2 linked regions of the Macaca mulatta genome follow. The protein of the gene in region 2 purifies or fractionates together with the protein of the main gene of each other region. This does not show direct contact. Links are inferred from orthologs where the notes say so. Each region holds a gene or a part of one and is shown on either strand. Other genes may lie near its edges.

Region 1 (4,050 bases), on a different chromosome or scaffold from region 2:
CCGCCTCCTGGGTTCAAGCGATTCTCCTGCCTCACCCTCAGGTGATCCACCTGCCTCAGCCTCAGACTCAGGTGATCCCGACCTCAGGTGATCCACTCCCCTCAGCCTCCCAAAGTACTGGGATTACAGGCGTGAGCCACCGCGCCAGGTGGGATTATCTCGTTTTTACTAGAAGGCTCTATCTCCTGGGGGTGGGATGGGGTGGTGAGATCAATTCACCTGGAAGTGGAAGCTGGGAACCTGGTTTGAGTTCTGATAGTTCTGGGGTCCAGCCCCTTATCTTGCTTCGCCTGGAGGGCTGAAGGACTGGAAATACTTTTGTTTTGGGGCTGGAACGCGGGCTGCAGTTTGGGAGGCGGCGGTAGTTTGGAAAAGGAGGCGGGGTCTGGTAAGCACTTTACCCGAATTGGGCAGTGGGAATTTGGGAATTGAGGACAATGGGAAGCTGGTTCTGAGTTTTAAACTGGGGAGTGACAGATCAGAGCTGGATTTTTAGGAGTTTCTCTGTCTGCAGGTTTAAAAAAGACCCGGGTGGGAGGTAGGGCTGGGGTGAGGAGGGAGAGAAGTGGACGATCTGAGAGCTGAGGCGGGGTGGAAGGGAGAGCAGCCTGTCAGGGGCTCGGGATTCCGGCCCAGGCGGCCAGAGATAGAGATGAGCTTCTTTCTCCGAACTGGGTTTGCTAACCTGTGACTGTCACTACTCCATGCTCCAGGGCACCTGGCCCAAGGGATCAAGCCTTTTGGGCACACAGATCCACCTGGAGCCCTGAAGGACCAGACAGGGACCTCGCCTTCTCTGTGTCCTTCCTGGGAAGGGGACTCCAGACCAACTGCCAGTCTTCCGGTTCCACCTCTCTGACAACCGCTCACCTCACCCTCCTTGGCATCTTTATTTCAAACGCTCTGTCCTTTTGTTTGCACGGGTTCCTGTGTCACATTCTGTGTTCCCATTTTTAATTGGAGAATAAGGGACTGCGTTATTCTACCCACAGGCCTAGCTGAGGGGATAGGGAGGCCGTGCCTACCTCCAAGGCTCTACGAAGTGAAGCAGGCGAGAATGTGCAGTCGTCGAGGCCAGAGGACCGGGCCTCAGCTTCTCCTTAAGACCCTGAGTCCTCCTCTGGGGACCACCCCGTTGTACCTGGAGGAGAAAATGCCCGCCCAGGAGGGAAGGGTTGGCCCCCAGAGAGCCCGCTGCGAAGTGAGTTTGCGCACTGCGGAGTGACTCCAGCGCGGCTCTGCCAGTCCGCGGGGCTGGCGGGGAGCAGGTTCGTGCACCGCGGGCTCTGCATGCAGAGGCGGGAAGCGCCCGCAGCCCGGCAGCCGGCCCAGCGGGAAGGCGCAGCCCGGGCTTCCGAACCCTGTGAACGAACGCGCAGGTTCCTGGTCTTCCAAATGGGCAGGAGTCGTCCTACCTGCCTGGGGTGGGAGGCCACATGGGGGCACTGCGCCCGGGAGCGGTCCCGGGTGTTTTCCAAATGCCCACTGCTGCTCTCATCCGTACCAGCGATGATCAAGAAGGGGCCTGGTCGCCCGGGGAGGTGCCCCGGTCCGACTTGACTCCGGGGACAACGCCGGGCGACGCCATCTGCGCAGGTCCCGGAAGGCCGCTTGTGTCTTTGTGCAGGGCGTGCTGTCTGTGGAAACGCGAGGGCACACTAGCACTTTCCTGTATGTATCATTATACTTCAATTTTTAGGAAGTACATTAGGAGGGCCTGCACCAGCCAAATTCGGGGATTAAAGCTTTTAAGCGGGAAGCACGCGCCCCGTGCTGTCCCTTTAAAGCGTTGGGCCGGCCCGAGGCATTCTGGCCGCTGCCGCTGCCCGTAGCGCTCCTCCGAGAGGCCGGCTTTGTGAGCTCGCCCCGCCCCCAGGACACCGCCCCCCTCCCCTCGCGCACGCGCACTGCGCCCCCGCCGCCTGGCGCCCGCCCGAGCTGCCGCCTCGTCGAGCTGAGTCCGCGCTCCCGCCCAGGCGGCGGCCGACGCGACGCCCCGAGCGCCCGGCCCCGCCGCCGCGGCCCGGCAGGTAAGCGGGTAGCCGCCCGGCCCGGGGAGCGCAAGGCGGGCAGCGGGGCGGCGCCAGGAGCCGCCAAACCACCCCCGGCCGCCGCACGTGTTCCCCGCCGGGCCTCGGGCCAGGCCCAGCCCCGGGCGCTGCTCCAGCTGCAGCGGCCCCGCCCGGGACCCCCGCCCTGGCCTCTCGGTGGACGGCTGCGCGCGTAGGCCCCTCCACCCCGTCCGCCCCCACTCGCGCCCCCACCTCCGCTTCCCCGGCGGGCCACTGACAAGGCCAGAGCGCCGGCACTGGGGCCTCTTTCCCGCAGGCGGCGTACCGGCCTCACATCGCCCCTCTTCCTCCTCTGCCCCTTCAAGGAAGGACCCCAGACCCACCAAGCCACTCAGTCCCTGGACGTGGTGCGCTTCCCCTCCTCGTAGAAACGCCCCCAGCCCGCTCCCGCCGCTCACCCCAACCCGAGGTAGCCAGGCTGCAGTTCGCTAGGTGGGGTCCTGGGGTGCGGGTCCTCGGTCCTAAACGGGGGGCCCACCGTGCCTCCTCGCGCGGGGCCGCAGACCTGTCCTGGCCGATCTGCGAGAGCCATTTTGAGCGGTTACGTTCCGGGACCAAACTGAGGTCGGCCTGTTATTTATCGCTAACGACACTCCCTGCTGTCTCGCTTGCAAGTTTCCACTCACCCAGGTCCGTTTACCCATCTCTTCAAATGCTAGTTTAATCTGTGACCTGGGCAGGTGCTGTGCTAGCCGGTGGGGAAGACAGGTAAGCGAAGGACCCAGGCGGAAGCCTGTCCAGGATCTCAGAGAGGTAGAGCCGGGTTCCCACCTGTGTTGGGCTGGCCACCTGGCTGGTGTTGAAGATGCAGATTAATTCTTGTCTTTGCACACAGTGTGCTCTCCTGACTGCACGCCGCAGGCAGGTTCCTGGGCTGGATCTCAGGGACTGAGGGACTCAGGCATCAGCCTGTGGCATGCAGTCCAGGAGGCCATACTGAGATTTGGTTGCTGGGCTTCAGGTGGTCAGGCTTACCTGGATGAAAAGCAGTGGCTGCTAGGTGGAGTCAGGCAGCAGCTGGTCTAGAGGTCACCTCCTCATCACCGTGCCTGTAACCTCGGTCCCCCCCCTTTCCTCAGTATCAAGTCTCCAACCTTCCTGTTCCCTCAAAATGATTGTTCCACAGAGACACCTGGTTGGTCATGAAAATGCCAAGCCTTGGCCCAGCGCGGTGGCTCACGCCTGTAGTCCTAGCACTTTGGGAGGCTGAGGCGGGCGGATTTTCTGAGGTCAGGAGTTCGAGATCAGCCTGGGCAACATGGCGAAACCCTGTCTCTACTAAAAATACAAAAAAGTAGCAGGGTGTAGTGGTACGCACCTGTAATTCCAGCTACACAGGAGGCTGAGGCACAATAATTACTTGAACCCGGAAGGTGGAGGTTGTAGTGAGCCGATATCGTTCCGCTGGACTCTTTGGACTCTGTCTTAAAAAAAAAAAAAAAAAATGCCAAGCCTAGATGCCACTACTGAGGTAGAAACTTGGCAGGTGTGTTGGGTCAAGAAATTGCATCTCTCCCCCTACCACCACCACCACGGAATTTTTCACTCTTTGGCCCAGGCTGGAGTGCAGTGGTGCAATCTTGGTTCACTGCTATCTCTGCCTTCCAATTTCAAGCGATTCTTCTGCCTCAGCCTTCCCAAGTAGCTGGGATTACAGGGACCCGCCACCACACCGGCTAATTTTTGTATTTTTAGTTGGGACGGGGTTTCTCCATGTTGGCCAGGCTGGTCTTTATCTCCTGGCCTCAGGATCTGCCCGCCTCCTGCCTTGGCCTCCCAAAGTGCTGAGATTACAGGCGTCAGTCACCACACCCTGCCACTGTATTCTTAAAAGTCAGGTTAAGGTTGTTTTGTTTGTTTCTTTTAAATGTTAATGGTTTTTGAGCCCAAAGGGTTGGGCAGGTTGGGCTTGAGCTGGGAGGGGCTGGGCACCTTTTTTGTAAGACCGCCTACCTGTTGTTCCTCATGTGAGGGTGTT
Region 2 (3,431 bases):
ATGACTAAAGGAATAAAACCGAAACCTGAGACAGTCCAACTGTCCATGAAATTTTAGCCTATTAGCCTATGACAAAAATAGCCAAAATTGATAGGAGTGTGGAGGGTGACACGGAAGGAAGAAGGGGGAAGCAGAAATGAAAGTTCATAAATGGTCTTGGGAGAAAATATGTCCATATATTAAACCTTACACCAAAATAGAGTTCACCATGTAAACCGTGTTGTAATGTAAAATTAACAACACAAAATTACTTAACCCATGGGAGAATGCTTTTTCCTTCTTCCCTGCCTCTGCCTCCCTGTCTCTCTGCTTGCCTCCCTCCCCTTTCTCCCTTTCTTGGGATGAATCCGTGGTCACTATCACTAACAGAGAAATTAACTCACTACATTCATCATTGTGGAGATGGTAGAATAACTGAGCAGCTTATCTCCAGAAGTCCCGGTCCACATAATTTAGGTCTCACCGAAATGTGCCTATCAGATTTTAAAAGAACCGAATATAAGACGCTAGGTTTTCTGTATTCAGAAGCACCATGGGTGTCAAATAGAGGGAACCATTAACGAAGGCCTTTATTAGAAATGTCTCTCATTTATCCATATACTTTAGTTAATAGTACAAATCGTTCTCCGCGTAGAAACACTTGGACTGCCAAACAAAATGTGTTTAAAAGAACTTCGATTTTTAAATGTTGATGTCTGCCTAAACTGAGGATAAGTAACCGTCAAGCGAGGACAAAATGGCTGGCTAAAAGTTGTGCTTTCGATACGCTCAAAATCGATACGCTCAAATCTGTCAGTTTAGCGGAACACTACATGCATGATATGAGAAACAAAAAGCTCCCTAGGTCCACGATTGCCTTGGGTGGAGGAAGGGCTATTGCCGCTGTTTATTCAAATGCATTCCTTTGTTACCACAGGAATGAGAAATTAACAGCAGAGGAATGTAGGACAAAGGTACCTGCACGCACTCTCCTCCCAGGGCTGGATGTTGCCACTACCTCCAGGAGATACCAACTTGACTACCTACAACATGGAAAGCGTCCGAAATCCCGAACGTTAATATCAAGAGGCAAAACTTTCAAGTCACAGAGAAGCAACACACACGGAATAAGCAACGTCTGCCACCATCCAATTAAATATAGAATTAAAGTCATGGACTAGAACGACGGACCAACCCAGGAGCAGGGCGGGACTTTTGAATTATTTTTTAGTCCAATCCGGATATCCCTTTAGACGAAGAAACTGGCTCTTGTTTTGCGATCTTTTCTGCCTTTCACAGGCCTGGGGCGTGGCTGACTGCCATCCCAAAAACATCCGCCAGCGGGAAACGCCTCGAAGCAGCAGTCAGGGACATGGAAGTCGCAGTAAAGGTTTAAGCGCCGTAACCTCACCACGGCCACTCTCGAACCCCCGTTACTTATTTGTCTTATAAGGTTCCCGTTCGACTAACCTTAAGGAGCAGGGTCGAGCAAGAAAAGGAACAAGGGCAACTAAGAAAAACAAGTATCCAGCTCTTTTATTGAGATCAGTGGTGGCTCTGAAAAGAGCCTTTTGGGTTTTTTGAAGCAGGCGTCCACCTATTTCTTCTTGGGTGCCGCCTTCTTAGGCTTGACAACCTTGGGCTTGGCGGCCTTGGGCTTCACGGACTTAGCAGCACTTTTGGCAGCTTTCTTGGGCTTCGCAACCTTGGCCTTCTTTGGGCTCTTGGCCACTTTCTTGGTCACAGTGGCCGCGGCCGGCTTCTTCGCCTTCTTCGGTGTTTTCTTAGCGCTCTTCTTCGGGGTAGCGCCGCCAGTCGCCTTCCTAGGCTTCTTAGCTGCCCCAACCGGCTTCTTAGGCTTGGCTGCGCCCACCTTCTTAACCTTGGGCTTGGTTTCGCCGGAGGCTGCCTTCTTGTTAAGTTTGAAGGAACCAGAAGCACCGGTGCCCTTAGTCTGCACCAGAGTGCCCTTGCTCACCAGACTCTTGAGACCAAGTTTGATTCGGCTGTTGTTTTTCTCCACATCATAGCCGGCGGCAGCCAACGCTTTTTTCAAAGCAGCAAGAGAAACCCCGCTGCGCTCTTTAGAGGCTGCCACCGCCTTGGTGATGAGCTCTGACACCGGGGGACCAGATGCCTTACGAGGCGGCCCCCCAGATTTCTTGGCTGTTTTCTTCTTTACGGGGACTTTCTCCGCCGGAGGCGCGGCAGCGGGAGCGACAGGAGCAGTCTCGGACATGTTGAGGATCAACAACTCGGGTACAAGTGGCAAAGCGCCGATGAAACAGCGCTTGGGCAGGGCCGCTGTATATATAGAGCGCAGGAGCGCTCTGATTGGTGCTCTGGTGGCCCGCCTGGCTGGCAGGCTCTGAGTCGCTGCGCTGCTCCCAAGTTGTGTTTGTTCCACCTCACAAAAGGGGAAAAATATTAAAATTCCCTGCACCAAATCACCCGGATTTGGTCAGGAAAGGATCTCAGAAGCCTCGGGCTTCAGGCTTTTCATTTATTTTTTCCACAACCACAAAAACAACGCGTCCAGGCGTCCCCAATTCCCCCAACTCCGAAGGAAGTCTGGGGCAGTCAGAGACCACTTTCTGTTTTTCTTATAAATTACCTGTTCGCTCCTTTGCCCCTGAAAGTTCTTTTTCCCAGGGGTGGTTGGGCACATGCTTCCCTTATTTTTGAAAAAAAAAGCGAAATGGTTTCCACCTAAATTTTCATGATAATTCTGTTTCTTCACAAGGGAAGTAACACAGGTCCTGTGTGAATTCTTCCTGCAGACGCACAGGAACTGTGGACTGGGACAAGGATTCCAGGGCCAGTCCAAAGTAATTAGGGAGGGATGGGAGGGGGTTCATGAGCCTTGGTAGGGTCCGGTGTGGTGGGGGGCTAGAGACTTAAATCTTTGATTTGAAGACATTGAAACCATCAAATCCTTCTTTTCATAGATGGGGGCGGGGCATCCTTTTCACTTCTCTACAGGCGAGAAATTGGGCTCTTTTTAAAAAGCTCTGAGGTCCCCCTCTGAGTTGTGTAAGGCAGGAGGTCTGGCTCTCAAGATAGAGATAATAAAGGAACAAGGGAGATCCCTTAAGCCTGCAAAGAAAGCCAATAGATTTGGCAGTTAGAGGCACTGAGATAATATGTTTTCAAAGAAAACAAGCATTTATTTATTTATTTATTTTTGTACATTGCAATATTAGAGATGAATTTCAGCCCATGAAAATTAGAGGTTACTTTCAATAACCACACCTTACACAAGTTACCGTACAGGACAATCTCCAGTTTGAAACTCAAATATATCTTTGAATTGCAAATAAAGCAACTGACTTTAATAAAACAAACTCTTGACTTTTAAGATGAACAATATATTTGAAATTTATTTTTTAAATAGCAAAAATTTACACAGAAAGATAGGAAAAGTACCAGAACATGTAATTTATTATAAGATC

The links.
Region 1: the proteins of H1-2 (region 2) and WDR5 purify together in Homo sapiens (affinity purification with mass spectrometry; 3 studies listed by BioGRID, with this or other methods). This does not show direct contact. The link is inferred for Macaca mulatta from reciprocal best matches to the Homo sapiens genes H1-2 and WDR5.

The regions. Positions count from the first base shown.
Region 1 is NC_133420.1:8,377,336-8,381,385, reverse strand, and holds the start of WDR5 (WD repeat-containing protein 5), read left to right. Parts: upstream 1-1,243; 5' UTR 1,244-1,290; coding exon 1,291-1,379; exon of another isoform or gene 1,380-1,507; coding exon 1,508-1,671; intron 1,672-1,911; exon of another isoform or gene 1,912-2,030; intron 2,031-2,085; exon of another isoform or gene 2,086-2,780; intron 2,781-4,050.
Region 2 is NC_133409.1:157,052,061-157,055,491, reverse strand, and holds H1-2 (histone H1.2), read right to left. Parts: upstream 2,261-3,431; 5' UTR 2,219-2,260; coding exon 1,577-2,218; 3' UTR 545-1,576; downstream 1-544. UniProt on the Homo sapiens protein: Histone H1 protein binds to linker DNA between nucleosomes forming the macromolecular structure known as the chromatin fiber. Histones H1 are necessary for the condensation of nucleosome chains into higher-order structured fibers.